Ovis aries: one gene and its partners. The protein of the gene in region 1 purifies or fractionates together with the protein of each later gene. This does not show direct contact. Links are inferred from orthologs where the notes say so. Each region holds a gene or a part of one and is shown in the gene's direction. Other genes may lie near its edges.

What was found.
Region 2: the proteins of CDC5L (region 1) and SRSF1 purify together in Homo sapiens (affinity purification with mass spectrometry; 4 studies listed by BioGRID and IntAct, with this or other methods). This does not show direct contact. The link is inferred for Ovis aries from reciprocal best matches to the Homo sapiens genes CDC5L and SRSF1.
Region 3: the proteins of CDC5L (region 1) and SF3A1 purify together in Homo sapiens (affinity purification with mass spectrometry; 3 studies listed by BioGRID and IntAct, with this or other methods). This does not show direct contact. The link is inferred for Ovis aries from reciprocal best matches to the Homo sapiens genes CDC5L and SF3A1.
Region 4: the proteins of CDC5L (region 1) and GCN1 purify together in Homo sapiens (affinity purification with mass spectrometry; 3 studies listed by BioGRID and IntAct, with this or other methods). This does not show direct contact. The link is inferred for Ovis aries from reciprocal best matches to the Homo sapiens genes CDC5L and GCN1.
Region 5: the proteins of CDC5L (region 1) and CWC15 purify together in Homo sapiens (affinity purification with mass spectrometry; 4 studies listed by BioGRID and IntAct, with this or other methods). This does not show direct contact. The link is inferred for Ovis aries from reciprocal best matches to the Homo sapiens genes CDC5L and CWC15.
Region 6: the proteins of CDC5L (region 1) and SF3B2 purify together in Homo sapiens (affinity purification with mass spectrometry; 3 studies listed by BioGRID and IntAct, with this or other methods). This does not show direct contact. The link is inferred for Ovis aries from reciprocal best matches to the Homo sapiens genes CDC5L and SF3B2.
Region 7: the proteins of CDC5L (region 1) and BZW1 purify together in Homo sapiens (affinity purification with mass spectrometry; 3 studies listed by BioGRID and IntAct, with this or other methods). This does not show direct contact. The link is inferred for Ovis aries from reciprocal best matches to the Homo sapiens genes CDC5L and BZW1.

The regions. Positions count from the first base shown.
Region 1 is NC_056073.1:17,861,594-17,865,580, forward strand, and holds part of CDC5L (cell division cycle 5-like protein), read left to right. Parts: intron 1-262; coding exon 263-451; intron 452-3,758; coding exon 3,759-3,907; intron 3,908-3,987.
Region 2 is NC_056064.1:8,494,907-8,499,602, reverse strand, and holds the start of SRSF1 (serine/arginine-rich splicing factor 1), read left to right. Parts: upstream 1-1,557; 5' UTR 1,558-1,666; coding exon 1,667-1,860; intron 1,861-2,273; coding exon 2,274-2,458; intron 2,459-2,823; coding exon 2,824-2,996; intron 2,997-3,199; coding exon 3,200-3,394; 3' UTR 3,395-4,696. UniProt on the Homo sapiens protein: Plays a role in preventing exon skipping, ensuring the accuracy of splicing and regulating alternative splicing.
Region 3 is NC_056070.1:69,363,521-69,368,009, reverse strand, and holds the start of SF3A1 (splicing factor 3A subunit 1), read left to right. Parts: upstream 1-1,556; 5' UTR 1,557-1,649; coding exon 1,650-1,712; intron 1,713-4,489. UniProt on the Homo sapiens protein: Component of the 17S U2 SnRNP complex of the spliceosome, a large ribonucleoprotein complex that removes introns from transcribed pre-mRNAs.
Region 4 is NC_056070.1:62,691,380-62,696,086, reverse strand, and holds the start of GCN1 (stalled ribosome sensor GCN1), read left to right. Parts: upstream 1-1,611; 5' UTR 1,612-1,629; coding exon 1,630-1,647; intron 1,648-4,707. Other genes in the region: RPLP0 (large ribosomal subunit protein uL10), read left to right, coding at 1-48. UniProt on the Homo sapiens protein: Ribosome collision sensor that plays a key role in the RNF14-RNF25 translation quality control pathway, a pathway that takes place when a ribosome has stalled during translation, and which promotes ubiquitination and degradation of translation factors on stalled ribosomes.
Region 5 is NC_056068.1:15,099,278-15,102,747, forward strand, and holds the end of CWC15 (spliceosome-associated protein CWC15 homolog), read left to right. Parts: intron 1-1,315; coding exon 1,316-1,434; intron 1,435-2,461; coding exon 2,462-2,591; 3' UTR 2,592-2,914; downstream 2,915-3,470. UniProt on the Homo sapiens protein: Involved in pre-mRNA splicing as component of the spliceosome. Component of the PRP19-CDC5L complex that forms an integral part of the spliceosome and is required for activating pre-mRNA splicing.
Region 6 is NC_056074.1:40,571,636-40,576,193, forward strand, and holds the start of SF3B2 (splicing factor 3B subunit 2), read left to right. Parts: upstream 1-1,520; 5' UTR 1,521-1,545; coding exon 1,546-1,678; intron 1,679-1,846; coding exon 1,847-1,896; intron 1,897-2,185; coding exon 2,186-2,263; intron 2,264-3,361; coding exon 3,362-3,610; intron 3,611-3,823; coding exon 3,824-3,874; intron 3,875-4,558. UniProt on the Homo sapiens protein: Component of the 17S U2 SnRNP complex of the spliceosome, a large ribonucleoprotein complex that removes introns from transcribed pre-mRNAs.
Region 7 is NC_056055.1:203,226,459-203,229,806, forward strand, and holds part of BZW1 (eIF5-mimic protein 2), read left to right. Parts: intron 1-128; coding exon 129-292; 3' UTR 293-859; coding exon of another isoform or gene 860-891; 3' UTR 892-3,348. UniProt on the Homo sapiens protein: Translation initiation regulator which represses repeat-associated non-AUG (RAN) initiated translation probably by acting as a competitive inhibitor of eukaryotic translation initiation factor 5 (EIF5) function.

The DNA.
Region 1 (3,987 bases):
ATTAATATATTGTTTTGAGAGAATTTCAGTATGGAAATAGAAGAATACAGTTTGATATTGTATCATGTATGGAATTTCCCCCCTACTTTATATAGGAACACTTTAAAAAACTAGTAATATTATGGAAATTTTCAAACCCACAAAGTAAAGAGTATACAGTGAACCTCTGTGTACTCAGCAGTTCATCTTTCTAGAATATGGACGTTTTAAGCTGTGTTATTCTCTGGTTAAATATTGCTACTATGATAACTGTTATCTTCAGATTTCAGACGCAGAACTCCAAGAAGTTGTAAAAGTAGGCCAAGCAAGTGAAATTGCACGTCAGACTGCTGAGGAATCTGGCATAACAAACTCTGCTTCCAGTACTCTCTTGTCTGAGTACAATGTCACCAACAACAGCATTGCTCTGAGAACACCACGAACGCCAGCTTCCCAGGACAGAATTCTGCAGGTAGGCTGCCATATGGTAGAATGAGCCTTTCACTTTGCTTCCTGTCCTTAAAAGTAGTATAAAGGTGAAGACTAAATGGTTTGGTTTTGTGTCTCTTAGCATAAGCAGTTTGAAACAGTCCTGAATGCATAGCTGCTAGAGATTTCCATGGTAGGGAAGCTAAATCTTGTCAGTAAAGCACAGCATTTAAAAATTACACATTGCCTAGCAGTCCTGGAAAAAAAAATACGTGTGTAGTTAGTAATTTTATTAATTTGGCTGTGCTTGGGTCCTAGTTGCAGCCCACAGGAGCTTTCATTGCAGCACACCGATTCTCTAGTTGTGTCTCATGGGTTCTGCAGTTGGGGTGAGCGGGCTTGCTTGCTCTCTGGCACATGGGATCCTAGTTCCCCCAACCAGGGATTAAACCTGTGTACTCTGCATTGCAAGGTGGATTCTTACCCACTGTGCCGCCAGGAGAGTTCCCTGTATTCAGTAATTTTTTTTTTTTACAGTGATTTTCAAAACTTCCTTGTGATTCTGTACTTAGCATGGCATAGACGGCCTTCAGTGCTATTTCCCTCTCGCTCCTTAACATATAGGGTGTACAGCTCTGTGTGTTCCTAGGGTGTTACCATGCTAGGTAATAGACAGACCTAACTTTCACTTTTCACTTTCATGCATTGGAGAAGGAAATGGCAACCCGCTCCGGTGTTCTTGCCTGGAGAATCCTGGGGATGGGGGAGCCTGGTGGGCTGCCATCTCTGGTGTCGCACAGAGTTGGACACGACTGCAGTGACTTAGCAGCAGCAACAGCAACAGAATACTATTGAATCTTTCAGCACTCCTTACATCTCAGTTTTCTAAGAGTCAAATATAATCTTACGGTTTTGATTTAGGAGTCAAACAGTCCTATATAAGACTATGTAAAAAAAATAGTGCCCCTCATTGTCTGCTTTCTAGAGTTATCAGTGACAGCTCTTTGTTTTCACCACTGTAATGGTAAGACACTTGTTTCATGTTGGTTTTATTTTCAGTTTAAAGCATTTTTTTTCCATGTAGAAATTGAGCATTTGGCTCTCTCATACCCTCTGCCTCTACTGTGCATCCACTCTTTCCATTTTCCCATCTTCCATTGTAGTTAATCATAATTTTGGTTAGCTCTATATTTATGGTTTACCTTATGGCTATGTGGGGCTTCCCTGGTGGCTCATATGGTAAAGAATCTTCCTGCAATGCAGGAGACTCAGATTCCATACCTGGGCCAGGAAGATCCCCTGGAGGAGGGCATAGCAACCCACTCCAGGATTTTTGCCTGGAGAATCCCATGGACAGAGAAGTCTGGCAGGCTACAGTCCATGGGGTTGCAGAGTCAGATATGACTGAGCAACTTTGACACTCACTTGTGACTATGTAAACTGCATTCACTGCTGACCTGGAAAGTACCTTATAATTATTCTGCTGCATAGTATTTTGTTTTTCTTTGGATTAATACTTGTTTTACTTAGTTGCTAACATTTTTGATGGCTTGGCACAAATTCATTTCTGGATCTGGACTTTATTAACTGTCAGTCTCCTGTAATCTGGTAAAATTTTAGGTATTCTTATCTTTTTCAGCGCTTGAAGTCTTTCCCAGAATTTCTGAATGTTCTAGCCTGGACTGATTGCTCCTTAGATCTTGTTTATGGCTCATTCTCTTGCTCCCCCTTCACTGTCACCCTGGAAAGTTTTCCCTTGGGTCTCCTCTTTCCTGGCTCCCATGTCTCTCGCTTTCTTGGTTGGCTCCCTTTTAGTGAGGCATATCTGTCGGTAGCTTTCTGAGGAAGGTTTCGTGGGAGATACAGTTTTTAAGTCTTGAATATCTGTAAATTACTGTTTTACTCTCTTAATTTGATTGATCGTACAACTGGGTATAGAATTCCAGATTCAAAGGATTTTTGTTCATAGCTTTGAAGTCAGTGTTCCAGGGTCTTCTGACTTGTGCTGTTAAGGTTAATAGGAAACCTGGTTTTTTCCTTCCTTTGGAAGCTTATATGACCTCTTTTTCACATGCATATTTCTTGATGTGGGTTTATTTTTAACCACTGTACTAGGTACTTGATGAGTCTTTTCATTCTGTAGACTCATGACCTTCAACTCTGGGAAGTTATTCTGAAAATGAGAAAAATTTCCTCCCCTTCATTGCTTTATTTCACTATTCCTCTCTGATTTTCTGTCTTGACTTTTTTGATTCATTGCTAGGAGATTTTCTGAATTTTACTTTCATACAGTTTTTAAATTTCTACTGTCGTATTTTAAATTTCTGAACTCTCTCTTTTTTAATTAGACTTGTGTGCATGCTCAGTCTCTTCAGTTGTGTCTGACTCTTTGCAACCCCATGGACTGTAGCCCACCAGGCTCCTCTGTCCATGGAATTTACCAGGCAGGAGTACTGGAGTGGGTTGCCATTTCCTTCTCCAGGGAATCTTCTCAACCCAGGGATAGAACCCATGTCTCCTGCATTGCAGGCAGTTTCTCTACTGTCTGAGGCACCAAGGAAGCACGTGTGTGTGTGTAATTTTTTTTTAAGATGCAATTGATCCTTTTATAACATACAGTTCAGTGGTTGGAGTGTCAAAGTTGGATTGTAAGAAGAGCATGTGAGATGAGAATTATGGTTGTGACTCTGTGGAAAATGTAGCTTGCCACAGACCCTGAAAAAATGTAGCTTGCCACAGACCCTGAATTGGGGATTAGGAGTTGTGGGTGCTGTGTTAGTAATGAGTGCAGGGTTATAGTAGGGGGACTGTAAAGAGAACATGTCAGTCCAACCTGAAGAGGTCAAGCAAGACTTCAGAAAGTAATCTGTCTTAAGTTTTCTAATGTAGTAGATAGACCAGTTGGTAATATTTTAACCTCACAATGGAAGAAACTGAGACTCAGAGAGTCTAATGAAAATTGGATAAAGCATTCATGATAAAGCCAGACTGGGTGTTCTAATGTTTAGCCCAAGCTCATGTTGGGAAAGTGGAATTCTTAGTTCTTCATGTAAAGAGGCTTGGCATGGGTGATAGGAGAAGTTCTTGGGTAATGGTAATTTCATATGTGAGGCCGCAATCACACATACATTTCTTGACATGTAAAACTATTCCAAAACTTCTGACATTTTAATGTCAGAAAGAATGGAAGCATTGAATTCCTCCATGGTTCAATATTCATTTTCTCTCGGTTTTCATTGAGAAAATATGTAAGAATTCTGCCTTCTTTTTGTGTAGTAGGACTATAAGAGAGGGGTTTGCTGTCCTGTCTAAATTGTTGAAACATGCTTGTTTACTGTCTTGTTAATCAGGAAGCCCAAAACCTCATGGCTCTGACCAACGTGGACACCCCATTAAAAGGTGGACTCAACACCCCTTTGCATGAGAGCGACTTCTCAGGTGTGACACCACAGCGGCAGGTTGTACAGACTCCAAACACAGTTCTTTCTACCCCATTCAGGTATTGTAAATAAACAACTAATTTTTGCTTTAGAAAAACCTGAATCCGAGGACTTGGACAATGTGTTTGCTTTAGAAATG
Region 2 (4,696 bases), on another chromosome or scaffold:
TAAAAAATAAAAAGGCAATAGATAAAATATGTCAATGAAGGATGATTTAAAGGACAAAAAAGTACACATACAAAATTTTGTCAACTATCACAGAGATTTTAAGAACTACCAAAGCTCCTCCATGGATCTGGAGCAAAGTAAATCTGTATTTTGGGATTACTGAGAAACATTTACTAGAATATATTCAATCAACTTATAGAACTGAAAGCATGTCATCTTTTTTCTTTTTAATTTCAAAGGCACCTAGATTTCTCCACCTAGTTTTAATAACGTTTTATAGTATCTTTATAAAACTGCCTTACAGCCCTGAGGAGAGGGACTATTACAAATACATACATAAACTGAAGAAAATCATCCTTACCCTTAGGGTGCAGAGCTAGCTGTTTTAGCATATTTATGACTGCAGGTTTGTTGTTTTAATTTGAATTCATCACTAATAATGTAAAGTTCCAGCATTTCATATAAAAAACCAGATTTCAAATAGATATCTCTATAGGAAAAAATGTAGAAGTTCTAATCTCCCTGGACCTGACTAGCAGATCAGTCTTGAGCAGCAACTGTGGTCTCCAGCGGCCACAGCAGTTCTCACAAGTTCATTGGGCTCATTTATATTACTTGAGAGGCCTGCTAATGAGTTCAAAACAAGGAACTTCAGGATTCTGCATACACACACGCAGGCGCGTGTGTTTTTTCTCGTTCTTTGAAAAAGGATGGAGAAGTAACAGGCACCATTCATTCTGCAGCCTTCAATGCACCTTTCCGCTGCGTTGGGCCTAGTAATAGGCGATGAAAAAAGAGAGAGATCTGGGTCCCGGTTGGTACCACCAACGATTGGTCAGAGCAGGAATCGCCGCCACTAACAAACACAAGCAGTGTTGAATGTAGTTATTAAATATATACAAAGCTTGGTGCTGAACCGAAGGTAGAACGGTACTTGATGTAGAATCTAAGGAATCTAAGCTCGGCTCCCCTATATTACACAGTCGTCTAGGCAGCGCACAGGTTCACAGGAGACGAGGCGGAAACACAGTGATGGCTTGCCTCTGCACAGAATCACAGACAACGCCGACTCCCGGACTGGGCGCAGTCTCCTAAGACGCGCCCGTTTCCGGAGCAACCGCCCAGTCCCTCCCCCATTGACTCCGCCCCCGGGGGCGTCTTTCCCGCCCAAGGCCGTTAACCCCGCAGAGCATTGTGGGATAAAGCTATAGGCTAGGTTTCACTAAATCCTTCCAAAGCGCCTTTGCTTTAAGAGACTTATTCCTGGGGAAACTGATTATTCTTTAGGACTCGACAAGATTAATAACCCTCTTTTACAAGGGCTCTGCCCTAAATCTTTACCACAGGGCCGGTCACTTCCTTTGCAAAGCTCTCGGCACCACGGGAACGCGGGAACTTTTTTCCCTTCGCGCGGAGGGTGACGTCGCGCGTGCGCCAGCGTCCCTTTCGCTGCACACCCGTTACGCTCTTGCGCGTGCGCAGTGAGATCGAATAGCTGCTTCCTCCCGCTTCTCTTCTTCCCTCCCCCCCATATCCGTGCGCCGAGCTGATAAAGGCGCCATTTTGGAGGGGCCGCGGGAGACGTGGTGTCGCGGCGGGCTCGCTCTGCCGTTCGCTAGGCTTGGTGGGAAGGCCTGTTCTCGAGTCCGCGCTTTTCGTCGCCGCCATGTCGGGAGGTGGTGTGATTCGTGGCCCGGCAGGGAACAACGACTGCCGCATCTACGTAGGGAACTTACCTCCAGACATCCGAACCAAGGACATTGAGGACGTGTTCTACAAATACGGTGCTATCCGCGACATCGACCTGAAGAATCGCCGCGGAGGACCGCCCTTCGCCTTCGTTGAGTTCGAGGACCCGCGGTGAGGCGGCCAGGGACTTGCGGCCTTGAGGATATAGGTTGGAGTAGTTGGGGAGTGCTCCAAGGCCTTAGAGAGAATGGGGACGTGGGCTCTGAGGTTGGGAGCAAGACGAGTCGGCCGCGCACGAGTGAAGTGAGGAGCCGAGTCGGTGAGGCTTCCCTGGTGACTGGGTCCCCCGGGCGTCTCCGGAGCCGGCTCGCGGGCTCGGAGCGGGAAACTGAGGCGCTGAGGGCTGCTGTAGTGGTCGGGAGCCTGGCGTGCTTCTGGGTGGGGGAGGGGCCGTCCCTATTATGCGGCGCATGTGGGCTCTTCCACCCCGGGTGCGCATGTGCGGGGCGCTGCTGGCTCCCCGACGGAGGTGGCCACCCCTCCCGGCCCTTTTTCTTACCCTTCGGCTTTCTGTAATCACGCAGGGATGCGGAAGACGCGGTGTACGGTCGCGACGGCTATGATTACGATGGATATCGTCTGCGGGTGGAGTTTCCTCGAAGTGGCCGTGGTACAGGCCGAGGCGGCGGCGGGGGTGGAGGTGGCGGGGCTCCCCGGGGCCGCTATGGCCCCCCATCCAGGCGTTCTGAAAACAGAGTGGTTGTCTCTGGTAAGTTGACCGTTCCGCGCGGGTCGATGTCACTTTTGGACAGATCCTACACTTTAAAGTTTTCCTTGCATGCGTAGTTTGACAAATGCTAGCTTTCATGGTAGGTCTTTAAATTATTTCAGTCGCATGGATGAATTTAGTAACCAGGAATTACTGTATTTGAGATTTAACGAATTAGATTGCAGTGTCTAGAATATGAAGATCATTACTTTGTAAATAATTTGGGGCTTTTAATTCTAGAATTTTGAATCATTAACCTAGGATGTTAAAACTAATCATTAATTTTAAAGTAGTCTTGGTTCTAATGTAAATTTTAACTTTAATGTGAAATACTAGGATAATTGTTGAAAAAAACTCTTTTTCAGGACTGCCTCCAAGTGGAAGCTGGCAGGATTTAAAGGATCACATGCGTGAAGCAGGTGATGTATGTTATGCTGATGTTTACCGAGATGGCACTGGTGTCGTGGAGTTTGTACGGAAAGAAGATATGACCTATGCAGTTCGAAAACTGGATAACACTAAGTTTAGATCTCATGAGGTAGGTTATACACTTATTCTTTTTATTGGCCAGAATTGGATACAGTGGTCTTAACTGTGGAATTTGAAGGTAAGATTCAGGCAAGGGTGTCCAAGTAAACCCAGTAAAGTGCCTCTGGTTTAAATTACGTTGTATTCATTCAGCATGCCTGAAGACAGGTGAAAACTTAGATCTTTCAATCGAAAGTTCTGTCTATTCAATAGGGAGAAACTGCCTACATCCGGGTTAAAGTTGATGGGCCCAGAAGTCCAAGTTATGGAAGATCTCGATCTCGAAGCCGTAGTCGTAGCAGAAGCCGTAGCAGAAGCAACAGCAGGAGTCGAAGTTATTCCCCAAGGAGAAGCAGAGGATCACCACGCTATTCTCCCCGTCATAGCAGATCTCGCTCTCGTACATAAGATGATTGGTGACACTTTTTTGTAGAACCCATGTTGTATACAGTTTTCCTTTATTCAGTACAATCTTTTCATTTTTTAATTCAAACTGTTTTGTTCAGAATGGGCTAAAGTGTTGAATTGCATTCTTGTGTAATACCCCTTGCTCCTAACATCTACATTCCCCTCATGTCGATAAATTGTATTTTAAGTGATGTCATAGCCAGGATTGTTTAAATTTAGTTAACTCTCCATGCTCTTCAGACTGTGATATTGTGTAAATGTCTATTCTGCTCTGGTTTGTGTGAACTGGGATGTTGGGGGTGTTTGTGGTTATCTTACCTGGGGAAGTTCTTATGTTTATCTTGCTTTTCATGTGTCTTTCTGTAGACATATCTGAAGAGATGGATTAAGAATGCTTTGGATTAAGGATTGTGGAGCACATTTCAATCATTTTAGGATTGTCAAAAGGAGGATTGAGGAGGATCAGATCAATAATGGAGGCAATGGTATGACTCCAAGTGCTATTGTCACAGATGAAATTGGCAGTATTGACCTTATACTAAAGGCAAGGGTTTAAATTGATTATGTATACATCTACCATAAAACACTTGTAAGCATCTTAATGCAGTTACCTTTAGCTACAATTGCTTTGCTCTTTAAACCTTGGCAATTGTGGCAAAATTACATTGCCCATTTTGTAACTATTTTGCTCCCTTCCCTTTTTTATTTTAATAGGGACTAATGTGGGAAGAACTGGCTAATTTGTCATAATGCTTAGTTACAACTGTTAATGTGTGACCTGCTGTTGGTGTACATGTGGGTACAGGGTGTCTTTAATTCCAACCAGATAGAGTATAATATCAATACTGCTAAATCTGCATGTCCTCTGTGTGACTGATATAGCGTTGCTACTTCATTTTTTAAAGACAAAATGAAAGCAAAATATAGAATTCCAACATATTGGTGTAGATAATCTAGTTGGGAATAATTTTAAGTCTCACCTTCCCCTTTAAACTAGTATTCATAATTGACTCATGTTTAAAATACTTTTAATTTACAAATTAAATTACAAATGGGAGCATTAGATTTAGTTTAGACTTAGGGGGGTAGCAGTACCAGTAAACTTTTCAACTACGTAACTTTTTGCAACCACAAAACCTGTAATACGCTGTACAGTAACAAGTGTTGGCATTATCAGTTGAACTGTAAATATAAAATGCTTCTTCCAATTAGTCTCTATGATGATTAAGTTTCTAAAATTTATCAGAACACCATTCAGAAACTTGTTTTGGGGAATTTGATAGTTATTGATGTACATCTGTT
Region 3 (4,489 bases), on another chromosome or scaffold:
GGAGCAGCTGGTAACCTTGCCTCTCCATAGGTCCCTCAGCCCAAGGTGGATTTTAACCCACAAAGGAGTGAAGGAACCTTTCCTTCGCTTCTGTTCAACATTCAAGTCCCTTCTTTGTCTTAAGCCCTGGGACCCTACCCTTCAGGTAAAGATTATGCCTACCTCCTGACCAGTGGGCTTCCCTGGTGGCTCAGACATCTGCTTCCAATGAGGGAGACCTGGGTTCGATCCCTGGGTCAGGAAGACCCCCTGGAGAAGGAAATGGCAACCCACTCCAGTACTCTTGCCTGGAAAATCCCATGGACGGAGGAGCCTGGTATGCTACAGTCCGTGGGGTTGCAAAGAGTCAGACACGACTGAGCGATTTCACATATCCTGACCAGTGCACCCATGGAAATGCTTTGGAAACTCTAAACCCATCTATATAGCAGCGTCAGTCTCTGACTCAGGATTGCTAACTGCCTGGATACCCCGGGGGGATACTGAAGGAATCCAGTGAAGACAAAGCAAGTAACCAAGTAAGCGCACCAGTAGAACAGTAAGAAAGGCCTGGGTTTGGATTCCCACTCCACCATGTAAACTGAAGATCTGTAAATGAGTTGCTCTGGGAAACAAATGATGGAATGCATGTAGTGTTTGGCACAGAGTCTGGCTCATGGTACATGTTCAACAAATCCTAACTATCGCTATAATTCAACGTTAATAGTAACACTAACATCAATCAGCTATGGTGTGAGAAAGAGACACGGGAGGAGACTTGGGAGGGCATCTTTTCCTATCACTCCCCCCGCCACACCCCCATTTCATCGGTGAAGAAACTGAAGTCCAGGCAAGGCTTCAGAGCCAGACACATTCTGGAGTTAGGAGGGAGGGGAGAGGGGAAAGGGAAGAGAAGCCCCCAGGAGGAGAAGCGAAAAGAGGGGGATCGTGGTGTGCCAGGGGGCGGGGAAGAGGCCCGCCGGGACCAACCTGCGGACGTGAGGGGTGGAGCCTAAAGAAGAAACCTAGATCTGAGTGGGTCCACCCGGTTGGAGGGCGGGACTACGGCAGGCGGGGGTGGAACTGGAAAAGACAGGGCCGCGGGAAACGGGACCAGTGGGAATTAGGGATCGAGACTTGGGAAGGGGTCTGGAGGATGTGGACCTGAAGTATAGAAGGGCTTGGAAGAACAGGCAGGCGGAGATCTGGCCAAAGTGGGAGCCCAGTGGGAGAGAACCCGGGATTTAGAAGGCGGGGGTCGGAGGGAGAGGGGAAATGGCCTGGCAGAGTAAAGGAGAGGGGGATCCGGGCGTCGGGGCGGAAGATGTAAAAAGTCTCACCAGTCTCCGGCGTCGCAGCCTCAGCCCCTGTGTCTGGCGGGTTCTTGGAACTGCCCCCAGGCGCTCCTGCAGCTCCGGGGATCCGGTGCAAAACCTAGCCCTGCTGCCCTGCCGCTGCCATGGCAACGGCGTCTCGCTCGTGGGAAGGGCAGGAAGTGATGTCACGGAGAAGGGGCGGGCCCGGACGTGCGTCAGCCTCGCCCCCTCGGCGACAACTCGGTCGGCCGCCGCCATCTTGAGAGCTTGTCGTACTGTTGGTGCGGTAAGGCGCTTTGACGCCGCACCGCTCACCTACACCGAGGCGGACTGGCAGCCCTGAGCGTCGCAGTCATGCCGGCCGGACCCGTGCAGGCGGTGCCCCCGCCGCCGCCCGCGGCCACCGAGCCCAAACAGGTACGGCGAGTTCTGCACCTCCACCGGCCGCTTGAGCAGGCCTGGGCCCTCGCCTCCCGCGCGGGCGCTCCTAACTCGTGCAGGAAGGAGCTGCCGTTTAGGAGGATTTGGGGGGACTCCAAGTCCCAGGAGGCAGCGCGCTTCCCGCCTGCCTTCGGGTAGCGGAAGAAGCCTTATTAGTGCCGTGGATCTCAAACTGAGGTCCGCGGACCAGCAGCAAATGGGAGTTGATTAGAAATGCTGATTTCCCACCCCAGATCTTCTAAAATCAGAATTTGCGTTTTTAATAAGATCCCACGGTGATTCATTAACGTTTGAGAAGCCCTGTTCTAGCGCATCCTCCGGTCTCGTGTGGTTAATTGGGCTCACCGGCCCCCCAGCCTTTGCTCTGGAGTCCCTAATTACCCAGCCTGCAGGGTACATCTTTGAATGTTAACTCTCAGCGTTTGTTTTCTGCTTACCGTAAGCCCGGCACCGTGCCAGGCTACGATATTAGCCAAATGAGTGAAGCACAATTCGTGCTTTATTTAGGGAGCTCAGGGACTAGTGGGGAGACAGATATGAGAGAATACTAGTAAATATCGTCTCAGTCACCACAAATGATACTGTTTCAGACAGCCCTTAAAAAGATTCAGCTAAGGAAGAGGGACGGGGTCAATAATTGGGTGATAATTGCAGGGTATTAGGAATGAGGCAGGAATTCTTTCTTTTTTAAACGTTAAACTTTTTATTTTGTATCGGAATATAGCTGATTATCAGTGTTGTGGTAGTTTCAGCTGAAAAGCAAAGGACTCAGCCATGCATATCCACGCAGTTGTCCTCCCCCACATCCCACACCCATGCAGGCTACCACATAACTTTGAGTAGGGTTCCTTGTGACAGACAGTAAGTCCTTGTTGGTTATCCATTTGGAATATAGCAACGTGTACATGACCTTCCCAAACTCCCCAACTATTCCTCCCCCCCGGTAACCATACATTTGTTTTCGAAGTCTGTTAGTCTCCTGTTGTTTTGTAAGTCCATTTGTGTCATTTCATTTTGGATTCCACATATAAGAGAGGCCATACGGTATTTCCCCTTCTTTGTCTGACTTATTTCACTCAGCATGACACTCTCTGAGTCCGTCCATGTTGCTGCAAATGGCATCATTTCATTCTTTTTAGTGGCTGAATAATATTCCATCACATATACGTACCACATCTTTATCCATTCATCTGTCGATGGATATTTGGCTTGCTTCCATGTCCTGTGCTGTGTGCTGTGCTTAGTTGCTCAGTTGTGTCTGACTCTTTGCAACCCCATGCACTGTAGTCCGCCAGGCTTCTTTGTCCATGGGGATTCTCCACGCAATACTGAAGTGGGTTGCCATGCCCTCCTCCAGGGGCCGAACCCAGGTCTTTTGCATTGCAGGTGGATTCTTTACTGTCTGAGCCACCAGGGAAGCCCAGGAATACTGGAGTGGGTAGCCTATCCTTTCTCCAGGGGATCTTCTTGACCCAGGAGTCAAACTGGGGTCTCCTGCATTGCAGGCGGATTCCTTACCAGCTGAGCTCCCAGGGAAGCCCTTCCACATCTTGGCTATTTTAAACAGTGGAGGCAGCAATTCTAATCCACGTCGCTTTTATGGGCTAGAGGAGAGTTTAAGGTAGGCGAGGCCCATGGGATGTAAGCTAAGTTGTGTTTAGAAGGATGAGTCAGTTCACCAGGTAGGTGATGGGGCAGGCAAATACCATTCTTTATTCATTCAGCAAATTTATTTATTGAGCATATCCTATCTGTTGACCACTGCAAGTACCTCTGTAACCCTGGCATTTTCCCGGTATTCGTGGAAAAATAAGCCAGGTAAAGCCACCTAAGTGCAGAGGTACCGAGGTCTGAGTCAGACAGTGCTTCTGGTCAAGGGTAAAGAAGGTTAAAGCATGGAGTTGGGAAAGTGGTACTTAAGAGCTGTATTACTGGCGATTTGAACTCTTCCTAGCAGGCTTTTGGGAGAAGAGCGGATGTAAGCTGGAGACTGACGTGTTTGTGTTGCAGAAATGGAGGTAGACAGTGATGTGGAGAATTGCTCGGAGGAAAGATTGGTCATGTTATTTGAAAAACGTTGAGGGCCTGGCCTACACTGTGGCTGGGGCCTGGGGCAGAGGGCGCCGGCACGCTGACGGCACGGAAGGGCTGATGTGCAAGCTCTCCCTCTGAACTGATGCGCTGGGATCCTGGTTCTGCCACGTGGGCTTCCTCAGGGAGGGGTCTCCGTTTCTTAGCTTGTCATCTGTAGAATGACAGTAGTGAGAATGCTTAGCGTCGCGGGCCTGTAAGGCTTATAGATGTAATCTGCTTCAGGTGCTCAGAGAAGGATGTAGAACCTACTCTGTGCTTGAGAAGTGTTCCTTATCACTGAATGTGGAGGTTGAGGAAAGGAGAAGAGACCCACGTTTCTGCCCTGGATGACTGGAGGCACGGTTGGCCGTCCATGAGGAGGGTGGTTAGAGATGAAAGTGCCCCGGGACCGTGGGCTCTTACAGCTCTGTGGCCACATGAGAGTGACGGGGGGCATTGGTGTGGGCAGGATGGTGTGGCCTAGAGGTGCTGGGGAAGTGGAGGATGCGCTGTCAGTGCCTACTGAGGACAGTGTGAGTCTGAAAAGAGGACAGAATTTGGGGGACACTCACAATATAGGTCAGGGGGTGAAACAAGAGCCAGGAGGGAGACTTGGGTGGAATGGTGGGCAAGAGAGACAGGTGAGGATAGGGCCCAGGAGGTGAGGCTCTTGTGACGGG
Region 4 (4,707 bases), on another chromosome or scaffold:
GAGTCGGAGGAGTCGGACGAGGATATGGGATTTGGTCTCTTTGACTAATCCCCAAAGAGCAGCCAACCGGGCCAGCATTATTTGTGAAATGAGAAAATAAAGGCTTACTTCTCTTACAAGTCTCTGAGCTTCTCATTTTGTGCGTTTGAAGGTTATATAGTGCTGTATGCTAGAAACCAAAGGCATGGTCAAATCAGCTTGATTTGAAATTGACATTTGGGTGTTCTCTTTGAAAGTGACACATTGCTCTCCTAGCATCCTATACTTTGTCTCTACCCAGTGTTAACTGTATGTTTGTTAAACTGAAATTTGTCTCCATGACCATCAGGCCACAAGCCTGGGTCACTCTGAGATAATTTAAGTAGGCTTGGTGTCATACTGAGATAAGATGTGTGCTGCCGGGGGTGTTTCAGACTGGGTGGTGGTCCAATTTAGTGGCCACTATTTAAAGAGAAAATGTCCTGTAGGTGTGAATCATACATATCATTTATTCTGTACTGACTGGATCATGAGGTAAGTGCTGGTTGTATCCAGGTCTCAAGTCCAAAGGAGCTTTCCCAGGTGGCTCAGCAGTAAAGAATCTGCCTGCAACGCAGGAGACTCGGTTTGAATCCCTGGGTCTGGGAGATACCTTGGGAGGAGGAAGTGAAGTGAAGTCGCTCAGTCGTGTCCGACTCTTTGCACGACCCCATGGACTGTAGCACCCCAGGCTCCTCCGTCCATGGGATTCTCCAGGCAAGAATACTGGAGTGGGTTGCCATTTCCTTCTCCAGGGGATCTTCCCTACCCAGGGATTGAACCCAGGTCTCCCACATTGCAGGCAGATGCTTTAACCTCTGAGCCACCAGGGAAGCCTCATGACAACCCATTCCTGTATTGCCTGGAAAATCCATGGACAGGAGCCTGACCTGCTACAAGTCCATCTACCTGCAAAGAGTTGCTTAGCCACTGAGCATGCGCGCACTCAGAAGTTTGAAAGCCATTGCTAACATCAGAGACAGGACTGATCTGTGCAGACCATATTAAAGTAGGTAGAGTTGTCAGGTTTGCATACAGAATAAAATTTAAACTAGCCCCAGCCTCCTACCCTGTGGCCTTGGTCTAAGGAGTTGCCCTTGGGCAGTTTCCTCCCTCCGCTCTAGAATCTTCTAACATTGCTGCTGGGGTACAAACAACGGTATAAGACACTTCGCTGCCTGCCTGTTACTGAGTTCAGCCCCTGTCATCAAGGAAACCCCTCTGGCAAACAAGTAGGCCACACTTATGTAAAACGGTCTTCACACAGGAGAGGCCCACGTTGGGGTACCCGGGCCGGACCTGCCTGCGCACACGTGGGTCGGAGCTGTAGGGACCCTCATCTTCCATGAGGCTGGGCTGAGAAGGGCCCTGAGACCCGGGGGTCGAAAAGCACGCCCTTGGCAGGCCTTGATAGTCCCCGGTATCCCTCAGATAACACACTCCGGCTGCCTGAGTCAAATCCCGGCCTGCGGTGACCGCCGTCCCGCCCGGGGGCGCCAGGCCCCGGGCCCGGGCGGGCTCCAAGCGGGATCCCGGCCTCGCCCTGCCGCGTGGGCTCGCGCTGTGACCCGGAAGCGCTCCGGAAGCGGTTCCGGAGTCAGCTCCGGCAGGATGGCGGCGGACACGCAGGTAAGGCGGGCGACTGCGAGGCCAACGCGGTCAGCAACTAGGCGCGAACGGCGGCGGTCTGGTCTGACCGCTAGTGCAGCTGCCGTAGGGGGTTAGGGGGCGGCGGCTGCGGAGGGCGCGGTCCCGGGGGCGCTTCGGGCGAACTCCCCACGGACCCGGCTTCGTCCTGGTTCCCGGCCCGGGCGGCGCAGACCGGCCGTGGGCTCGACGAGTCGGACTCCGGCCTCGGCTTCGGCAGACCCTTCTTGATCCTGAAGTTGCCACAGTTCCCGTTTCAGAGTCTGCTCCGTTTCTCCGAAACCCTCCACGATGAACCTCGGCCAGCGCCAACTATGCCTTAAAACTTTATATTCAGCAGATATTTCTCGGACATTTACTACGCTCGGGGACTTAAAGCACAGTGTTTGGATTTGTACAGATCTGAGTTTGAGTGCTAGCTGATCAGTTTCTCTAAGACGCTGGGCAAGCTGCTTAATCCTGTCAAGTCGCGGTCTTTGCATCCATACAATGGGGCTAAACTAATACCTGCCTCGTAGGGTCGTTGTGAGGAATCGATGAAATAAAGTAGGGCCCCATGTAAGTTGGTGGTTATTATTAGGTCCAGCGTTAGATAAAAGAGCTGTCACAACTTGGGAAGAGTCTTGTCACCTTGAGTGTTGGAGGGGGGACTTTCCCCCTCCACCCCAGCCTCCTTTGTGGCTGTGAGTGTTTTAGAGAGAAAAGACAATATTACGAAAAAAAAAAAAAGACAGTATTACGGGAAATGAAACAGGTCTCAAAAGGACAGCTTGGCTCACTTGGGTGTCGGGATGAGGAGATTTATTTATTTTGATATGAAGGCCCTGAAGTCAGAGAGTGAGCCCTTAACTTCATTATTCAGAATGTGTGTGTTGTGAGTTTCCTGTGCAAGGAAGGTTCTGGTAATTTGTTCAAAGTTTGTTATGATGGATCCTGGAAAGAAAGGGGTATTTTGAAAGGGGTTGGGAGAATACATGCTGAATGTGTAACATTAAAACTCAAATGAAGAAAGCAAACACTTCTTGGGACTTACCTGGTACTCCAGTAGTTAAAGACGCCTGCCAGTGCAGGGGACACCGGTTCAGCCCCTGGCCCAGGATCTAAGATCCCACATACTACTGGGGAACTGAGCCTGGGCGCCCCTTGTGCCACAGCTAAGACCTGACACAGCCAAATAAATAAATATTAAAAAAAAAAAATCTCTCTAGTGCTGTGTTGTTCAGTATAGTAACCAGTTAATTAACAGCCAACTAGCTACTTAGGTTAGTTAAAATTAAATGAAATTTAAAATTCAGTTCTTCGGTTGCTCTAGCCACATTTCAGTGCCTGGGTAGCTGTATGTGGCTGGTGACTGATGCATTGTACAGTGTAAAAGAACATTTCCATCATCACAGAAAGTGCTTCTGGACAGTGTTACCCTAGAGAGAAACCTGTGAACTTTTTAAGCTCTTTGCATCTGATCTAAACCAACAGATTACTTCTCTGAAGGATCTTAGTGTGCTCTTCCTCACTTTTGTTCTGACAGGGTCCCTAGTGGGTGACATTCATTTTCTGATTAAGAAAAAGAAGAGCCTTGTACCTGAAATGCCCTTTCATCTTTCCAGGAGAAACTGTAGTCAGGAACTTAACATTAGCATGGAAAAACAGCTATGTGGGAATTTCGGGTACAGGGTGTATTATATATATAAAGATGCATCTAAATTTGCTATCTCCTCCAGCCTTACTGAAACTAGTAAAAGGTTGAGGGAAAAAATAAGAATTGAGAGAATGGGGAGCAGACAACAGCTGCAAACTTTTGGAAGCTAGAAAGTGAGGAGTGGTAAAGGATCCTAAGCCAGCAGTTCGGAAAGCTGAGAACCAACCTGATTTACATTGTAGAATTTCTGATAGCTGGGAATTGTTGGCATCTGCTAACCCCTGGGTGTGAGGGTGAGTGGGGAGGGGCTAAGTTAGGAGGATTGGTTGAAAGCCCTGTTCACGTGCCTTCAGAACCCCAGCTTTCTTTCTCCATCTTGGCAAAAGGCTGGAAGTTTTCCTTTCTGGAGAGTGTAAAACAGGACCACACAAAAGTGTAGGAGGTCCAATGTCCACGGAAATCATCAACGGAATAATTCAAGATGCTTTCCCTGAACCGAAGCATGCCTTTTCAAATCAAAAATGGTCAGCACAGTGGATGAAAGCAGACGCACGACAGAGCACACTAACGTGAAATCCAATTTTTCTGTTAAAAATAAATTTTCTTCTTTATTTTTGTATTTATTTACGGCTGCATTGGGTCTTATTTGCGGCACGTGGGATCTTTTCGTTGAGGTGCGTGGGCTCAGTTGCCTGCGATGGAAGGCGGATTCTTAACCTCTGGACCTCCGGGAAAGTCCCAACCTGAAATTTTGGAACCTTGGATATAAAAAGATCTTAGAAACTCCTGGGGGGGGGGGGATATCAGATCTCAGACAAAAGATCGAGAATCAGAATGGCATGGAGGTTCCCAACAATACTGAATGCTAGAACTCAGTGGAGAAAAGTCTTCAGTATTCTGAAGGAAAATTTCAATCTAGCATTCTCTATTCAGACAAACTTCAGGTAGGAGGTCAGAACATTTTCAAACCCGCAAGGACGTCACAAGTTAGAGTGTGCAGTTCACCCAGACACACAAAAAGAGTACATTCTCAGGGTGATAAACCGCATCCCAGCTGTAGCAGTCACACACCAAATCCACTGGGAGAGGCCTCTTCAGGAAGGTGGAATTTGGTCAGACTGCATGATCTGCGTCAATGTATTGAGATTTAGACACGGGGCAGACTGTGGGATTGAATGGTTAATTAGGACAGATAAAACGAGGCAGGCTGAGAATGGAGAGAGTGAAGGGCTCATGATTCAACTCCAGGATTAATTTTAAAAAGCTGTGCAAGAGAGCAGACAGAGTTCATTAAACGGAAGTTGAAAACTAGTTGCATCTAATGTAAACACTGAATTATTGGACTAACGTATATTACGAAACTTGAGGAATAATTACCGAATAATCAGCCAGTGTTGGTGAAAGAG
Region 5 (3,470 bases), on another chromosome or scaffold:
ACAATTAAATGCATTTGGAGCATAAACATTTCAGACAGAAATTCTTGGCAATTTTGTAACATGCATCTGATTTCTTTGTACAAACGTGTTGGTGTTTTTTGGAGTCACATGACAGTTTTGTACCTATTTCCCTGTCTTGCTTTCTAGTGGCTGACTTTTCCCTGTCTCGCTTTCTAGTGGCACCTCTAGTGGCTGAGGTGTTTCAAAACATTTCAGACCAGTCAGCCTATGTTAGGGGCTGGGAAACTTTCTATAAGGGACTGCTGCTGCTACTGCTAAGGAGCTTCAGTCGTGTCTGATTCTGTGCAACCCCGTAGACGGCAGCCCCCCAGGCTACCCTGTCCCTGGGATTCTCCAGGCAAGAACACTGGAGTGGGTTGCCGTTTCCTTCTCCAGTGCATGAAACTGAAAAGTGAAAGTGAAGTCGCTCAGTCGTGTCCAACTCTTCACGACCCCATGGACGGCAGCCCACCAGGCTCCTCTGTCCATGGGATTTTCCAGGCAAGAGACTAGATAATAACTGTATTAGGCTTGCAGACCACATAGCCTCTGTCGCAACTTTTCAACTCAGCTGATTGTAGGATAAGCAGCCATAGGAAACATAAATAAATGAATGAGACTGTTCCAGTAAAATTTATTTACGAAACAGGATGGTTGGATTTGAGTAAACCACAGGCTGTCCATTCCTATATACCTATGGTCATGAAACAGTGTACCTGGTACTTGAGTATGGAAAGAGTTGGCACCTTTTTTCCCCAGTGCTATGTGTGGCAGTCAACCAGTAACTCTAAAAGAAATAATAGGAAATTGTTCTTGGTTAATAATAACTTGTCACAAGTCCTAGAGATGCTAGTTTACATTGTTACTGAGTCAAAAGATTATTTATAATCTGCTATATTAACCCTTCTTTAGAAATTGAGATAAATTGCTTTGCCTCATGTGTCTTTTTGATGTTTAAACATGTTCTTAAATGATTAGAATGTTTACTGATATACTCTAAGCAGTTATGTAATTTTGTATGTAATTCGAGAAAGAAAATATGTTTAAATAAACATGCAACTCAAGAATTTCAAAGTCAGAAAGAGACTAATGAATAACAAACATGAAATATTTATAATAAAAGTGCCAAATTATTTCAGTAGGACTTTTTTGGTATATTTTTAAAAACAAAAACAATGCTATCTTGATGCTTATCCCATCTCCCTCTAAAAATCCTGACAGTCTTTTAAAATATGAGTTATAATAATAAGATTGACACCAGAGTTAATATAAGTAAATGAATCTTTTACTTATGAATCTTCCATATTGTTGACAGGAACAAGAACAAAAAGCTGAAGAAGAAAGGATTCGTATGGAAAACATTCTGAGTGGAAACCCTCTTCTTAATCTCACTGGCCCATCCCAGCCTCAGGCCAACTTCAAAGTTAAAAGAAGGTATTGTACAGTAAATAAGTTGGAGATTATATATATATGTATACAGTACAGATTATATATAAAATATAAGTTGTATGTGTAGTTTTTTGGTTGTATTAAACTATATGGTGGTTCTTCCTTGTTTGGTACAGACAGAAATGTTTGGAGGTTGAAACATCTCTTAATATGCAGATCACGTTTGACCTAGCTCTGCTCAGCTTTTCACATTTCTCTGCACTGCACCAGTGATGACTTAAAACACTTTTCAAAGATGCCCATGTTCTTTGCTGATTTTCCACATGCAGTTTCCTCTGACATGCATACATCCACACTCACACACATTGTATAGCCTTTCATTTGATATATATTTATGAGAACTCATATATTGCACATATGAGTTTGTGTTGTATATGCTAGATGATATTTTGAAATAGTAGTCTTTATTTTCTCTAAAACATGTATTTAAGCCCATCCTGGGCTGCCTGTTGTTTTTTTTTTTTCTTCTTTAAGTTTATACATTATGAAAGCCAACCAAGAGAATCTTAACTAGAGTTCTGCCCTAAGCTCTTCAGCTGCTCTTGCCTTGTGGTTAATGTAGATGTGGGCCAACATATGAGCCTTAATTATTATACCCTAATAATTCCTTCTTTTGTCCTACCGTGTTAAATGGTTACAGAGTATATATAAAATCCTTAAAACTCATAATCTAATTATAGTGACTTGCCCAGTTATCCTTGAGACCTAATACTAATCAGGGTAGTACCAAGTGCTGCCGCTTTGTTTTAGACCTGAAAACATTGAATATTTATGCAACTTCTGCTTTTTTAACTCAAAGTTTTTTATACTGGAAGAATAACAGGAATGTTGTGTGTATTCTAAAATAGCGATTACTCTTCCTGTTAAAAAAGCAAGCCAACTGCCTCTTAAAAATTACTTGTTCTTTTGGGTATAATCGCAGCATCAAGTGATGTGCATGTTGAGCATGAGGAAGCTTTGTCGTTCACATTGATACAGGTATTGTAAGATTGTTCTATTTTTTTTCTTTCAGGTGGGATGATGACGTTGTCTTCAAGAACTGTGCAAAAGGTGTAGATGATCAGAAGAAAGACAAAAGATTTGTAAATGATACGCTTCGATCTGAATTTCACAAAAAGTTCATGGAGAAATACATTAAATAGTACAGTTTTATGTGCTGAATTGAAGGCTATAAAATGTAAACGATCTGACTTCATTTTGATTTTTCTCTCCCACCCCTATCTAAATTGTGTATAGGCTTCCCTAATTTTTAGTTCCAAAGTATCTTTTCCTTTATTGATTAATTACTTGATAAGGACTTGGGAATTGGTTTAACCCAGTTTCCATCTCAATATTTCCAGTCATGTGTTTTCTCTTAAATATAGGAAAAGAAACCTTGTAATAAATATTTTTAATAAATAGCCAAATCTGTGTCCCCAACTTGTTTGTTGAAATGTATGCAGCTAGTAAAACATTGCATATTTTCTTCTGTGTGTTGGATTTCTTTGTAAACTTTTTCTCCTCATATCTCAAGTCAGTTAATTCATCACATCTCCTCCATCTTTTGAAAAGTGTGATGAAAGATTAAAGGGATTCCATTTTGGACCACTGTTGGTACAGAGGAGTGTTGTCAAGCAGAAAGCACCCTGAGTGCGTGTGTGAGGGAGCGTGGGGTACCTCTCACTTTGGCATTGCCCCTTTCTTTTCTCTCAGCCCAGACAATAAAGAGGTTCTTAAGTGTGCCCAGGAAGCGTGTGGCATTCACCTGTGTCCTGGATACTCAGCTGCCATGTTTCGCTTGAGTGAGAGAGAGTGCTCACTGACACTCACTAGATGCAAAGCCTGGGGGAGTTTAACATCAAACAATATATGAAATAAAACCTTTGGAAATATGAGGATATGGATACAGGAAGTGGAAGTGTTTACACAACTGGGAAATGAAGTTTCCCTAAACCTTGGCTAGGATTTTTAAGGTTATCATTTTGATAGAAAATGTAAGACTGGGAATTGAATCTTTTACAGATAGAGACCCATTCATAGGA
Region 6 (4,558 bases), on another chromosome or scaffold:
TAGGTTTGGGCAGGAGCAAAGAGAATTTCCTGCCAGGGTTAGGTTGCAAGCAACCTTCCTGGCCCAGTCCTTTGTCTATCCTAAACCTCACCTTCCCTGGACCTGACCTCCCATTCTTTTTTCCCTCCTCCCAGGTACTGCTCTGTTGGGGGTGATTCGTGAAATAGAGCATGCTAGAGAGAAGATCTGAGGGATGCGGGTGTGGAGGGAGGGGAGAGGGAATAGAGACCATTTTGAGTTGCCCCGCTCTCTCATCCAACACACATACATGCACACTGGCTGCGACCTGGCTGTCTGTGAGACAGCAGCACTAGAATGGGAACGGGATCTCAGAGCTGGAGGCAGAGGTGGGAAGATGAACTGAACTGACTGATCAGGACAGGGAGAAGCAGAAGGGGGCAAGCAAGGGCCACCTGCCCATCCCTCCCTCAGGGGCACAGGCCGCTGGTGGGGTAGGAGAGCACCAGACAGGGTCTGCTGCGCCAGTAAGCTGGTGGGGATGAGGGAAGAAAAGGTCCTGAGTTTATTTTCTTTCTTTTTCGGCCTTGCGGTGCGGCTTGTGGGATCTTAGTTACCTGACCGCGGATGGAACCCGGGTTTCCCCAGGGAAAGCACTGAGTTCGACCCACTGGACCACCAGGGAATTCCCCTGCGTTTATTTTCAAGACTAAAAAAGGATCCAAATCTTGTCGCTTAAGACTGCTTTTTTTTTTTTTTTTTCCCCCTTTCAGTAATAATTCATTGAGCACTTCTAACGCCAGGTACTGTGAGACCGTAAAAACTCATGTCTTGGGAGTTGTAAGTGCAGAAAAGGGCAAGAAAGATTTCAAAACAAATGGTAGAGGTTTGGCCGCTCCAGAGCAGGAAAGGCGGGAGACAGTTTAACGTAGATGACATTTGAGACGGCCAGGAAGGTGGAAAAAGGGGCTTTAGTGTGGCCCTTCCCCCAGGTCGGCAGCTGGATCTCAGCCCGGAGGGCCGGCTTCGTTCCCGTCTCCGATCTCCTTTCAGCCCATTCATCCATGCCTGGGCCGGGGATGGGCGGGCAGACAATCAGACACTGTTTTATCACAGGCATCGGCGGCAAACTCCCGCTTGGCGCCCACAGCGCGCGACCGCCGGGGGAACGAGTCCCTGGAGAACGTGAGCGTCCAGGCCTCTCAAGTCCAACCAGGGAGTAGCGCCGCAAGGCGGGAGGTCTGCGCTGAGGCCAGTGAGATGCAGAAAGCACGCCCTTCGGGCAGGACCTGCTTTCCCCACAGCCCCGCCCCGGCTCTGGCCTCCAGAGTTCCCCGCGTCGCGGCCGGCCGCGATCCTCCCGGATTTGAATCCGCAGAGATCGTGACCTGTGCACTACAACTCCCAGAAGGCTTCGCGACCAGGCGGCCTAAGGAGCATTGGAGAACGGTAGGGGGTGGGCCCTGATGGGAACTGCCTGGCAACCCTCGAGCGGACGTGGCGTATCGCCCTACCGGAAGTTCCGGGAAGTGGGTCCGGAGGCTGGTCCGAGCTTCCGGGTTGGTCGCGCGCCTTCCTGCGGCTAAGATGGCGGCCGAGCATCCGGAGCCTCCTAAGGGAGAGTTGCAGCTGCCGCCGCCGCCGCCTCCTGGACACTATGGTGCCTGGGCTGCCCAGGAGCTTCAGGCCAAATTAGCAGAGATCGGAGCTCCCATCCAGGGTGAGGAGCATGGGAAGTCAAGGGCAGGAAAGTGCAGGCCTGCGGGGAAGCGGAGCTGGTTACCCCGGAGACCCGGGGGCGGGGGTTAGAGGCTGGCCGCGGTGGCCTGACTTGGGCAGGCTGGCCTGCTCGACCTGACCTACCCCGTTGATCCTGTGCTTTGCTTAGCAGGGAGTCGCGAGGAGCTTGTGGAGCGATTGCAGGCTTACACTCGCCAAGTAAGTGTTGGTGGCGGGACATGAGGATAGGCCGAGCGTTTGCAGGAGGCATTAATGACCCGTTACAACTCGGTCTTCGTTGTTTACGAATCTCGGTACAGCAAGTGGGGTCTTGGCTGCTTCGTATCTGCTGTGTTATAATTGCTTTTGTATATATCGTTTCTTCCCAGAGCCCATTCCGAGCTCTGGCAGACAGTCACTGGGTAAATTTTGTTGAATAGACGAGAGCGAACGCTGTTTCATGCACCAGCTCCTTTTAGACTGCCCTAGATTCTTTTCACTTTCACAGACTGGCATCGTCCTGAATCGTCCCGTTCTGAGAGGTGAAGATGGGGACAAAGCTGCTCCTCCTCCTATGTCAGCACAGGTAAGAAGACTGTCTCACTTGATAAGATTCTTTTCTACTCAGAGTAGCTCCTCCTCTGAGCGTACAGGGGGATACACGTAGCCCACTGGGCAGGGAGGTACACTGATGAAAGAACTGGGAACTCTTCAGTTCTTCCTTCGTCCAGATTCTTACTTCCTTTCTCAGTGTCAGTTCCTCCAAATTTCATGTGTCATTTAAGATTCAGCTTAAATATCTGGAAACCTGACATAATCCTTCCCCAGCTGGAAGTAATCACTCTCTTCTCTGCCCTCCCTGTGCAGAGTTCCCATGTTATTCAATGAGAAATTAGGGCTTACTCTCTGATTTAATTTCATACCTTCTATATTTAATCAGTCATTGGGGCACACTGGGTCTTATTTATTTAAATACTCTCAATTTCCATGTCTTTTCTGATCCAGGATTTGATAGTTTTTCTGTAGAGCAGTGGCCCTGACTTGGGGTCCAGGGACTTCTATGTGTGGCATAAGAAGGTTTTTATTTTTTGAGGGGTTGAGGAGTTTTTCAGAAGGCCTTTAGAGGTGTCCGTGAGTCTCCTGAAATTGTATGTGAAGTCTGTGTTCATGATGTTCTTCTGGGACAGAGTTGACAGCTTTCATCAGTTGGTGGCACAAAGTTAAAATGCTCTTCTTTCGATACTGCCGTAGAGTATTCTTTCTTTTTTCCTTTATGTCTTTGGCTGCTCTGGGTCTTCATTGCTGTGTGCAGGCCCTTTCCAGTTGAAGCGAGCACAGGACTACTGTCTAGTTGTGTTGTGCGGCCATCCCATCGCAGTGGCCTCTGGTTGCGGAGCACGGGCTCCAGGGTATACGGGTTTCAGCAGCTGCAGCACACGCGGCACATGGGCTTAGTTGCCCCGCAGCACGTGGAATCTTCCTAGAGCAGGGCTCGAACCCATGTGCCTTGCGTTGAGCGGATTCTTAAACATTGGACCTTCAGGGAAGCCCTGCATTTTCTTGAATGCAAGAATTGTGCATCATTTGACTTTGAATCCCAGTGCCAGCCTTATATTAGTTCCCCAGCAAATGCCTGCCATTACATAAATGCTTCATAGTTAATGGCCTTTTTTTCCCCCCACAGCTCTCGGGGATTCCCATGCCGCCCCCACCCATGGGTCTCCCTCCTCTACAACCCCCTCCACCACCCCCACCACCCCCACCTGGCCTTGGCCTTGGCTTTCCTATGGCAGTTGGACCCCGCCCGCCAAACTTGGGGCCTCCTCCTCCTCTCCGGGTGGGTGAGCCCGTGGCGCTGTCTGAGGAAGAGCGGCTGAAGCTGGCGCAGCAGCAGGCGGCATTGCTGATGCAGCAGGAGGAGCGTGCCAAGCAGGTAGGGCAGGTGGCAGCCTGAGCCTGGGTCTCACCAGGGTCCTGAAAAGGGAGTAGGGCCTCCAGGGGAGCCGGATCCTGGGGCCAAGGCTTCTGGGAAGGTCTGGACCCAAGTCTTCAGGGCCTCGGCTGGAAGAGCAGACCAGGAAGCAGAGCTGTGGTAGACTGGCCGGTGGGGTGTGGGTACTGGAATGAGCTCGTTTTCTTTCTTAAGCAGGGAGATCATTCACTGAAGGAACATGAGCTTTTGGAGCAGCAGAAGCGGGTAATGCCTCCCTCTTCCTAACCTTTGACCTCCATGGTCTAATCCATCGTCTGTCACTTCTAGTGCTTACTGTCTAAAATTAGCCGTGCCATTCAGGTTTCCCATGGAGATTACCTCATCCTCATCTAAATTCCATTATCTCCCAAATAATTCTTTCTTTCACATAGCCAAGGAATTGGTAATCTGTGGACTATAGCCTGTTTTTGTATGGCCTGTGATGTAAGGATGGTTTTTATATATTTGAAGGGTTGTTTCGGGGAGATGGGGGAAAGGAATTTACAACAGTCTACAAACAACCCAGAAAGCCTAAAATATTTACTGACTGGCCCATTACAGAAGAAATTTCCTGACCCCTACTGGGCTTTCCCAATGGCTCAGTGGGTAAAGAGTCTGCCTGCAGGAGACAGGAGATGTGGGTTTAATCCCTGGGTTGGGAAGATCCCCTGGAGAAGGAAATGGCAACCCACTCCAGTATTCTTGCTTGAAAAATCCCATGGACCAGAGGAGCCTGGCAGGCTATAGCCCATGGAGACATGACTGAGCAACTAAGCACTCAGGCATGCACGATCCCTACTAGTCTTACGTGATATCATTTTAGGTACACTGGAGAGGATTCTGGGCTAATTTAGTCATTTGTATCAGATTTAGTTCAAATGTGGTGTGTTTAAGTTAGGGAATGATACA
Region 7 (3,348 bases), on another chromosome or scaffold:
TCCACATTTCAGTCAAAACAAAAATGCTCTGAAGGCATGTGCACCTTAGGGAGTTTCTGACTCTGCCTCAGTTACGGAAGTACTGTATGAATACTCCACAGATGTAAAGGGTGCTCTCTTCTTTACAGCTGAAGTTCTGAGTGAAGAACCCATTCTAAAATGGTATAAAGATGCACACGTTGCCAAGGGGAAGAGTGTCTTCCTTGAGCAAATGAAAAAGTTTGTAGAGTGGCTCAAAAATGCTGAAGAGGGTAAGTCTTTTCATTTGTGCAATCTGTTTGGTAAAGCCTGAGAACTTATTTTAATGTGGACAAGAATATGTCCATACATGTCATCCTTCATTCAGATACCATTTTGTACCTAAAGTACAGATTTTTGTTTATTCATGACACACCTCCAAAAACTCATTTACTTTAAGGCAGGGGAGAAAAACTAGACTTCAAGCATTTTGATGACTTGGCCATAATACTAAAGTTCTTAGGAAAATTGAAAATTTTGAGAATGTGTGCATTAGTCAATCACTCATGTCCGACTCTGGAACCCCCTGGGCTATAGCTTCCCAGACTCCTCTGTGCATGGAATTCTCCAGGCAAGAATACTGGAGTTGGGTTGCCATGCCCTCCGGGGGATCTTCCCAACCCTGGGACTGAACCTGGGTCTCCTGCATTGCAGGTTTATCATCTGAGCCACCAGGGAAGTCCAAATATTTATGAATTTTGAGATTTACAGATGCATACTTTTAGATATCCTCCTCATATGAGTAGATCATTATTAATAAAAAATTTTAAGTAAAGTTATAAATGGAACTTTTATTTTCTGATATTATGTAATGCTTGATTGCACTTTTCCCCTTTTCTAGAATCTGAGTCTGAAGCTGAAGAAGGTGACTGAATTTTGAAACTACACCCTCAGTAAAGCAAACAGGAGTTGTAGATAAAATGTCATGTCTCATGTGTCCTGGTTCTTACATCTTCCTACCTCCCTATATCAAGCATGATATAAGGGCTTTCATGGCAAATTTTATTTTAACTGTTTCTATGGTTACTGGAAATGTTGGATTTAGTTTCTAAAACCATGTTTTAGGTAGCTACAGGAGCTATAGATTTGAATCTGATGTTGCATTAGTCTTTTCAGTTATCTTCTACCTCCTGTATTTTCTACTGTAATAATGTAATTTAAGGCCTTCCACAATGAACAGTTCACTTTATTCCCTGGGTTTTCTATATAAACAGTTTTCAAGATATGATTTGGTTAAAAATAATTTGTTATAAAAATTCTGTTTGCAAATTAAACTGTAAAAGTATCCAGTGTCTCAGAAGGCAATGATTTGTGTGATAATTTGATATGCCCAAAGCCCTGCTCATCAATGAAAACTATCATATACAGTAATTGAATTCATTAACATGAATCTTGAGTATTTGGACCATTGCTTCCATGTTAACATTTTCTTGGCATTTTTAGCCCCAGATGTACTTGAGCTCAATTGTCTGCTCTCTGATTTTCATTCCCTAAAATGAAGCCATGGAGAACAAACTTGAAAGTAGGGTATTTGGGAAATTGTATGTGGCAGAGGTAATAGGAAGAAAAAAATTAAGCTTTTTCCCATTGAAAAACTTCTGCATTCAGTTTGTTTCTTTCCACACAAAACAAATGAATATTCTTTTCACAAAGCCATTTTCAAACATACCTTGGAAAAAGCCTTGCCATTTAAAGTATTTTACACTTATCCTGCACTTAGATTCGTGAGAGAGGACCAGAAATAGTGCGAGTAAAGCAAATGACTGTACTAAACCCAGAAAATTGTTGAAAGAAAAAAGATCAGCATGTTCTAATTGGGACTCCAAATATAACTCCGTATTGCCTGTTGGCTTAGCGTATTTGTTGTAGAGAGAGAAGTGCGGTGATAATGATGTGTTGCTACTTGGTCATAGTGGACCAGCTTCATTCTCTTCACAGGTTCATTTATGACTCAGCTATCTGGCTGTTAACCTAGTTGCCAGTTTCTTAAATTGCCATGAGCCAAATATCTCTTCTATACAGTTGATCCATTTATTTTAATGGCTGCCTTTTTAATTTCCATCTTTTCTTGCTGCTACCTGTCTTCATATGTAGTCATTAGAAAACAAAGTGTGGCCACGCTTTTTGCTGGAAAGATTTCATGTTGAAAGTAAACACTTTGAAAGTTTTTTGACTGGTGAAAGAAACAAGCTTGGAATAATGCCACGAGAGACTTGAGTGGAAATTGCCTTTTTCAAAGGTGCCATTCTTATGAGCCAAGAATTTGTGTTTAGAAGTTTATCTTAAGGGAATAACATGTAATATAGTTTGAAATAAAGGTATAACCTTATGAAGAAGAGCATTATAATTGATACCGTTGTGAAGGGGGTGAAATTGTTAAATGAATGACTTTTGATAAAGCTTTCATGCACAGGCAAAATGTATTCACTAGGTTTCTACATAGTGATCTGCTTTTACTTTGTAATTTGTAGTCCTCAAAAGACTTTTTTTAAAAAAATAAAGTCCATCCTTACACTTAGGTTTATATAGGTCAGTCTTCTTCTTTTTTTTTTTTTTTTTTAAATTTTTGTTTGTAAATTCCATGCTGATACCTAGTGGTAACTGTATGTTATGCGTCAGATGTATCTACTGTGTAACCATTAAACAATTGCTCTTTTCATCCTTATGACTCCCAACTTCACAGAATTCTGATGTAGCAGAAATTACATTAACATTTCTACAACCAAACCATTGCATGTTACTGCAGTACAGAGTGTACCTTGTTTATTATATACTGTGTATAGTGAAAGTGTGTGTAGTTTTCCAGAAAACTACATTATGATCTCTGTCTGATCAGTTTTTTCCTTCATAATGACAAAGTAGTGTTTACTTACTGCAATATTAACAGTAAGTGGATGTCACCTATGACAGTATAAAGAAAGGGAATGCTTTCTAAAAAGACTTAGCAGATTTTCATTCTGAATTTTAAGTGGCAATTTTGAGTCTCAGCTGCCAGTGCCAACCTCAGATATGTAAATATAGATGTTAAGATTGTACTTGTAATCATGATCCGATAAATGTTCATTGATTTTCCTAACTTGGTGTCAGTTTCTAAGGATAAGTCTCCTCTTAGATACCATAATTAAATGTGTGCTTAGAGCTGATTAAATTTCTTAATCTTAATTATTCTGGGAGTATTGTCCTAGAGACATTTATTATATTCTTAAGAAAATTGCAAATGCCACAGGCTATTTTAACACAGCATAGTAATGGTGGGGTGAGATTTATTTCCAATTCAATGTTTTTAAGGTTTTTTTTCCTCATCAACCCTATCCCTAAAGCATTTGAAAC